Arabidopsis thaliana: one gene and its partner. The protein of the gene in region 1 interacts with the protein of each later gene in a pairwise test. Each region holds a gene or a part of one and is shown in the gene's direction. Other genes may lie near its edges.

Region 1 (3,803 bases):
TTATGTGCAGGTCAAAACGATTACCTTCTGCCAAGACCCCTGTCTTCTTCAATATTTTCTTACTTGCGCTTGTTGGGTAATGATATACTCCTTATACTACCAGATTTAGCCTCATTTACCTGTTTTTCTTTTCTAGTTTGCTAACTTTTGGGAAACAGGTTCATGTCTCTGATAGTTGGTTGTAAAGGTATAGAATATAGTTCACCAACTCTTGCCTCTGCTATCAGCAATCTGACACCAGCTTTCACATTTACGCTCGCCGTTATCTTCAGGTTCCACCTCTTTTTCTTTCGTTTCCGTTCTGGGATAGTATATAGATAATTTAGTTAACAATGCGGTAGTTCCACACTTATTTAACCGTTCAAAGTTTTAAGCCTTTTGCTTTTGTCACAGCCACTAGTACAAGTACAACCTTGTGGTTGCATAAAAAATGTTGTGCCCACATGTTGTTCTAAGAGACAGAGAGAAATATGGGTAAACTAGAGGGGTGTTTGTTTCTATCAGCTGAACATTTAACTCTTGTTGTTACTGCTTCCTTGTGTGACTCAAAAGAATGGAACAAATAGTCTTAAGGAGCTCCGCGACTCAGGCCAAAATCATTGGCACGATAGTATCTATATCTGGTGCTTTGGTTGTTATTCTTTATAAAGGCCCTAAAGTTCTAACTGATGCATCTCTTACACCTCCATCACCTACCATTTCGCTTTACCAGCATTTGACTTCATTTGATTCGAGTTGGATAATCGGAGGTCTTTTGCTCGCTACACAGTATTTGCTTGTTTCAGTCTGGTATATTCTTCAGGTATGAAAAAGGACATTGGATATGTTGGTGACACTTATATAACTCTTGCTAAATGTGGTAGCTCTATATGATTTCAGACTCGGGTCATGGAGTTATACCCTGAAGAAATAACTGTAGTATTCTTGTATAACTTATGCGCTACGCTTATCTCGGCACCAGTATGTCTATTTGCGGAAAAAGACTTGAATTCTTTTATACTTAAACCGGGTGTCTCCCTTGCTTCAGTCATGTACTCGGTGAGAATCAATCCTAATATGTTGCTTCAAGTAATGATTATATTTTAAGCTCAGAAACTAACACTCTGTTTCAGGGAGGCTTAGTTTCATCATTTGGCTCAGTTATACACACTTGGGGTCTGCATCTTAAGGGTCCAGTCTACATATCCTTGTTCAAGCCGTTGTCTATTGTCATTGCGGTCGCTATGGGTGTTATGTTCCTCGGCGATGCACTTTACCTTGGGAGGTACTTTATCTTTCACAATCTTCATAAATATCACACACAACATATTATCTAATATCTAGGTGCCATAACATTCAGCTTTAGTGCCATGTATCTATCCATGGAATTACATTGAGAGTTATATGGTTTCTGGTTTTAATTCGTCACAAGTCACACTTAGCCGCCATATATAGTTTCTAAATATTTCTTTCGAGACAGTACTAATTATCCGGCATATATATTGTGTGTAGTGTCATTGGATCATTGATTTTGAGCTTAGGATTCTACACTGTGATTTGGGGAAAAGCAAGAGAGGATTCAATCAAAACTGTGGCTGGTACTGAGCAGTCCCCTTTGTTGCCTTCACACACCATAGAAGAAGAAGCCTCATTAAGCTGTGACTGATGCAAGTGGAATCTGTTAAGAGATGGTCCCCATTGATGTTTACGTATAGCTACACTACATTGTACATATGGTAATTTTGTATGTTTTTCTTTCTTGTACTATTTCAAGTTAAGGATTTTTAATTAATGTAAGACGACTGATATTGCCAGTTAGGAAACCTTCTCTTATATTTCCATTTTATCAACAACCCTTAACGGCTCTAAACGCAAAATCTATGCAAATATATGGAAATCGAATCTAAAAAAGCGCACACACACATATCTTTACGCGTTTTTTCACCGATCAGCGAGAGTGATAAATATTTTTTCAAACCCTAGTGATCAAAATATATCTCTAATTCACACAGTTTCCTTCTCACTTTCTTCATCTTTTTCACAAAGCCGCCAAAGTTTGTCTTCGTGTTTTCTCTTCACTCTGAAACAGAAAGTTTGTCTTCGAAATCAACAATAATGACTATGCGATCATCTTTACCTTCTTCCTCTTCCGCTTATTCACTCGCTTCAACAAGTTTGAGCAACAGACTTGAGACCATCTTCAAGAAAGCTTCAGAGCTTTGCACTCTCTGTGATATTGAAGCCTGCGTCATCTATTACGGACCAGACGGAGAACTCAAGACATGGCCTCCGGAGCGAGAGAAAGTGAGAGACATTGCTCTTAGGTATAGTCAATTAAACGAAGCATTGAGACGCAAGAAAAGCGTTAATCTTCATGGGTTCCTGAACAAGAAGAAGAAGAACAAGGGTTTGAAGAATACGGACAAGAAGAGGAAGACGAGTCTTAAGAAGGTGAATGTTTTAAAGTATCCACTCGCTGATCATTACCCTCCCGACCAAGTTTCTCCACTGATTCAGTCCTTGGAACTCCATGTCTCTAAATTCCACGAAAGGCTTGAATTTCTTGAGTCGCGGAAACAGAATGAGACACAACCGGATCACCACAGTTTAGCATCATCCTCTCTGAATCATCAGACCCAATCTTTGAACCCTAGCCAGTTCTCGCTGTTTATGTATAATCATGGAGACAATACTCTGTCTCAGATCCCAGTCTCTGCATCAAATTTCAATCAGGATTATTTCTCAGCGTTACTTGAACAATCTGAGTTGAAGAATCAGTTAATGAAGCAGGAGATTTGTGGTAATGATCAGAATCAGAACATGTGGATGGGTAACATCACCAACAACAATTTTCAACTTCCTTGCGTCTCAGTACAAGAATCTGTGAACAACTTTGGGTTGATGCACAAGGAGTTTTATGGTTGTGATCATAACATGTCTGTGGGTAACATCAATAGCAACAGCTGTGAACATCCTTGCGTCTCAAGCACACAACATTACTCGGCGGTAGAAGAATCTGTGAATAACCCCTGGTTGAATCAGTTGATGCAGAATGAACTTTATGGTTACGGTTATGCAGACTTTTGTTAATTTCTTATGATTAATTCTGTGTGTCTAATGTCTTGTTCTTAGGTGTGTTGTTGTTCTGTATTCAGCTAATATTGTAATAAATTTTGAATCATCATCCCTAGAAACATTAATTACTAAAAGCCAGTCTTATGATCTATTTCTGATTTCTCTCTTATGCATAATAAACTCAAATTTCCAATAGAGACTCTCAACAGAGCAATAACTGTGTATGTGTGTGTTAGTTGTATAAGTAGAACTAAGCATATGTGTTCCATTGGGAAACACCAGTTATATGTTATAATAATCTGAATTATCTCCAGCTTTTTTATGGTTATTAGTTGGATAGTATGAAGCAGTACATGCACTTTCACTTTCCATACAGGTAGCTGGTTGTAAAGCTATTGAATATAGTTCCCCAACTCTTACCTCTGCTATCAGCAACCTCACACCATCTTCCACCTTCATACTTGCCGTCTTCTTCAGGTTCCACCTTGTTTCTTTCCTCTCTGTTTGTAGAAAATGAACAACCGAGTGGTTCCACGTTAACCATACAAAATATATGTTTCTGAAACAGTAACAATCAAATATGAAACAATATCAGAACACAGACAGTAACTGTCAAATATGAAACAATACCAAAATGCAGAAACATTCTCATGCCACTAATTGTGGTTGTACTAGTACAACCTTGCGGTGATATCAACATGTTAGCCTATCATTCTTTCCCGAGAAACTTCTGATGGATATGAGGATTT
Region 2 (3,928 bases), about 15 Mb from region 1:
TTTTCGAATATGTCGATGAGATGAGAAACATCTACGGCCCAATTTTCACACTTAAGATGGGAATTCGAACGATGATCATCATCTCCGACGCTAATCTCGCACACCAAGCCTTGATCGAACGTGGAGCCCAATTCGCAACCCGACCCGCCGAAACTCCGACCCGGAAAATCTTCAGTTCTAGCGATATCACCGTTCATTCCGCTATGTACGGTCCCGTGTGGCGATCACTGAGACGGAACATGGTTCAAAACATGCTCTGCTCTAACCGGTTAAAGGAATTTGGTTCAATTAGAAAATCCGCCATTGATAAGCTCGTGGAGAAGATCAAATCTGAAGCTAAGGAAAACGACGGGCTCGTCTGGGTTCTAAGAAACGCTAGATTCGCTGCTTTTTGTATCTTGTTAGATATGTGTTTCGGAGTTAAAATGGAAGAAGAATCGATTGAGAAGATGGATCAGATGATGACGGAGATTTTAACCGCCGTTGATCCACGAATTCACGACTATCTTCCGATTCTAACTCCGTTTTACTTCAAGGAGAGGAAAAATTCTCTGGAACTTCGCCGGAAACTTGTCCAATTCGTCGTTGGATTCATCGAGAAACGACGATTAGCGATTCGAAATCTCGGCTCCGATAAAACGGCGTCGTCTTTCGCGTATCTTGATACTTTATTCGATCTCAGAGTTGATGGTCGTGAAACGTCACCGTCAGATGAAGATCTCGTGACGCTGTGTTCAGAGTTTCTCAACGCCGGTACGGATACGACGGGGACGGCGATAGAGTGGGGAATCGCGGAGCTGATATCGAATCCGAAGATTCAATCTCGGCTGTACGATGAGATTAAATCAACGGTGGGAGATGATCGAACGGTTGAGGAGAAAGATTTGAATAAAATGGTCTTTTTACAAGCTTTTGTTAAGGAGCTTCTCCGGAGACATCCACCGACGTATTTCACGTTAACTCACGGCGTTACGGAGCCGACTAATCTCGCGGGTTACGATATTCCCGTCGGGGCTAATGTTGAGTTTTATCTTCCCGGTATAAGTGAAGACCCGAAGATATGGTCTAAACCGGAGAAATTTGATCCGGACCGGTTTATAACAGGTGGAGAAGACGCCGATTTAACCGGAGTCGCCGGAGTTAAAATGATGCCGTTCGGAATTGGCCGTCGGATTTGTCCGGGGCTTGGAATGGCGGTCGTACACGTGGAGCTAATGCTGTCGAGGATGGTTCAAGAGTTTGAGTGGAGCTCGTACCCGCCGGAGAGCCAAGTGGATTTCACCGGCAAATTGGTGTTCGCGGTGGTGATGAAGAATCCGTTGAGAGCGAGGGTTAAAGCTAGGGTTTAAGTTTCGTTGATTCCACGTCTTTGATTCTTTTAACTTGACCAAACCCGGTTCAAGAGAGAAAATTCGCATTTTGTCTAATTTGCTTTGGTTTAATTAAATGTTTTCCTACTCTTCAATTACTAAATAGAGCCATGCATATTCGATTTACGTTTGTTTTAGTTGGTTTGCATTATTGCATGTCTTCAAATTAAGCTAGTATAAACTAATAATTTAGATGGTTTGACTAAACCAAATAACTGTTTATTACTGAACCAAATTTTCGATTAAATCACTCTTTCAGAAAAGGAAATTTCTTTGACAAAGGAAAAGGAAACATATACTTATTGGATTAATTAGTGATTAGTAGATTATCACGAAAAGGAAATAGAATCGATGGTTTAACTGAACCAGCCATGGTTAGTTTCAGGTGCTTTTCGAGTTAAGTTTTCAAAAAAGGAAATCGATTGTACTTAGTTTGGTTCGTCTCAGGCGGTTTAAGAGTCATTACTTTCAAAAAAGGAAAATAATTATACTTAGTTCGTTTAATCACTGATTAGCTAATTGTCAGAAAAAGGAAATATAGTCGATTGATTAGAAACGAGTAACAACACAGAGTCTATATATACACGATTAGAAACAGAGAGTAGCCATATCATATTCTTTCGCAACAGGCTAACACAAAAATCTCTCTGTCTTTTTCTCCTTCTCTTTCTTTGTCTGTGAAATCGTGAACACAGAATGGGGGGCGTGAAGAGAAAGATTTCTATAGAGCTGATAGAGAAGAAAGATTCAAGAGCTGTTGCTTTCTCAAAACGCAGTAGGGGTCTATATAGCAAAGCCTCTGATCTTTGTCTTCTCTCCGATGCACAAATTGCGATCATAGCCACTCCGGTCTCTTCCAAATCAAACGTTTCTTTCTACACCTTTGGCCATTCCTCTGTTGATAACGTTGTAGCCGCTTTCCTCACGAATCAGCGTCCTCGGGAAGGTCTAGGGTTAGACTATTGGTGGGAAGATGAGAGGCTTTCAAAATCAGAGGACCTGGAGGAACTGAGAGACGCAATGGACTCGATGTCGAAGATGTTGAAAGATCTGAAGGATTTGCAGAATCAACGAGATTGTGAGGAGGACGTGAAGAAGAAGGGTGTTTTACACGGAACTCATCAAAAGCAAACCTTTAATCCTGAATCATGTTCTGTGAATTTCGATGGGTTTAACAAGAACACTGAAGAATTTGATCTTGATGAAATATTTGATTATGTGTCAACAGCTGAAGCTCTATCGATGAACTTGGACATGGACGATGTCTCTGTGGTGACCACGAATCAAAACCCCGTCTCTGCTTCTGAAACTGTTGAAGATAGAGAATTGGTTGTTCACAAAAATATGGATGAGGACAATATCCACGTGTCTGATATGGACGACAAGGATACGATGCTAATGATTTCTGACAAGAACAATGTTTTACCTGAAAACTTGGATGAATTCGATCAAGAGCTAGATCTTGATCAGCTACTTGATTTTGAGACAAACTATGAAAGCCTTTTGAAGAGTTGTGAGATGGAGGATTATGCCTCGATGGTGACTACAAAGCAAAATCTGTGCTCAAATCCTGAAGCTGTTGAAGATGGAGGATTAATGATTCAAAAAGATTTACCGGAGGATAATCTCTGCTTTTCTGATTATTTCAGTGACTTACATTGCTGATATTTGAAACTCCCTCCAAGATAACAGATGTTTCAAGGATTGCTTCGGTTTATTTTCGTTAGAGATACTTTACTCAAGGAAGGTTCCGGTTTGACTTCAATCAATTTTCCATGCTTCATTGGATTTCTGGGATGTTGATCTAACTCAAACCGGTTCAGTTTTGGTTTGCCTTAACTAATGAAGAAACCATCCTTTTTTCTTTTAAGTTTTGTAGTCTTTTCTATCAACTTGTCTTGTTTTATATGTGTGATGTTTTCTTCTTATATTAAAAGTTTAAAACCAATGAGTCTTACTACTCTTTTTTTCTTGTATCAACTTGTGTCTTGTTTAACTGTGGGATGTTTTCTAATCTAACCAACAAATAATATTAAAACCAATATTGAGTCTTACAACAGAAAACATCTGTCTGACAATCTTTGATTAGGAATGTCTCTGCTTTCTTATTAAGTACCAAAACCAGTCATCATCTAGGCCAGTATTTTGTGATTACTTCATAACTTGAAAACAGATAAAGCTTTACCAAAATAGAGCAGAATGGCTCCATAACAAATTGCAGAAGAACCGGTGCTAATTGATTCCATTCAAAACGTGATGCAGAGAAGTGTTTATATGGCGGGGAAAGTTTGGGAAAAAACACCTTGTAATTGGTTCAAATGCAATGTAGGGGGAGCTTGGGTGTTAAGAAATGAGTTGGGTGGTTTTACTTCACAGTCGCCGGGCGATATTTAGTATAAGAAGTGTAGAGGATGCAAAGCTAAGAGTTTTGCTTTGGTCTATTGAAAGCATGTCAAGTCACAAAGTCATGAGAGTTTTTTTTTGCTTGCCAAGAAAAAGGATTGGTAGAAGCAGTTAATAGGCCGCAGGCTTGGCCCCTCTTTTAAAGCTCAATCTTT

The links.
Region 2: the proteins of AGL43 (region 1) and AGL99 interact in a two-hybrid assay, tested with the Arabidopsis thaliana proteins (one large-scale study listed by BioGRID).

Annotation. Positions count from the first base shown.
Region 1 is NC_003076.8:16,077,656-16,081,458, reverse strand, and holds AGL43 (AGAMOUS-like 43), read left to right. Parts: upstream 1-2,094; coding exon 2,095-3,069; downstream 3,070-3,803. Other genes in the region: UMAMIT37 (nodulin MtN21 /EamA-like transporter family protein), read left to right, coding at 11-76, 159-272, 553-802, 880-1,038, 1,113-1,264, 1,492-1,645.
Region 2 is NC_003076.8:1,330,759-1,334,686, forward strand, and holds AGL99 (AGAMOUS-like 99), read left to right. Parts: upstream 1-2,000; 5' UTR 2,001-2,066; coding exon 2,067-3,035; 3' UTR 3,036-3,164; downstream 3,165-3,928. Other genes in the region: CYP77A9 (cytochrome P450, family 77, subfamily A, polypeptide 9), read left to right, coding at 1-1,349.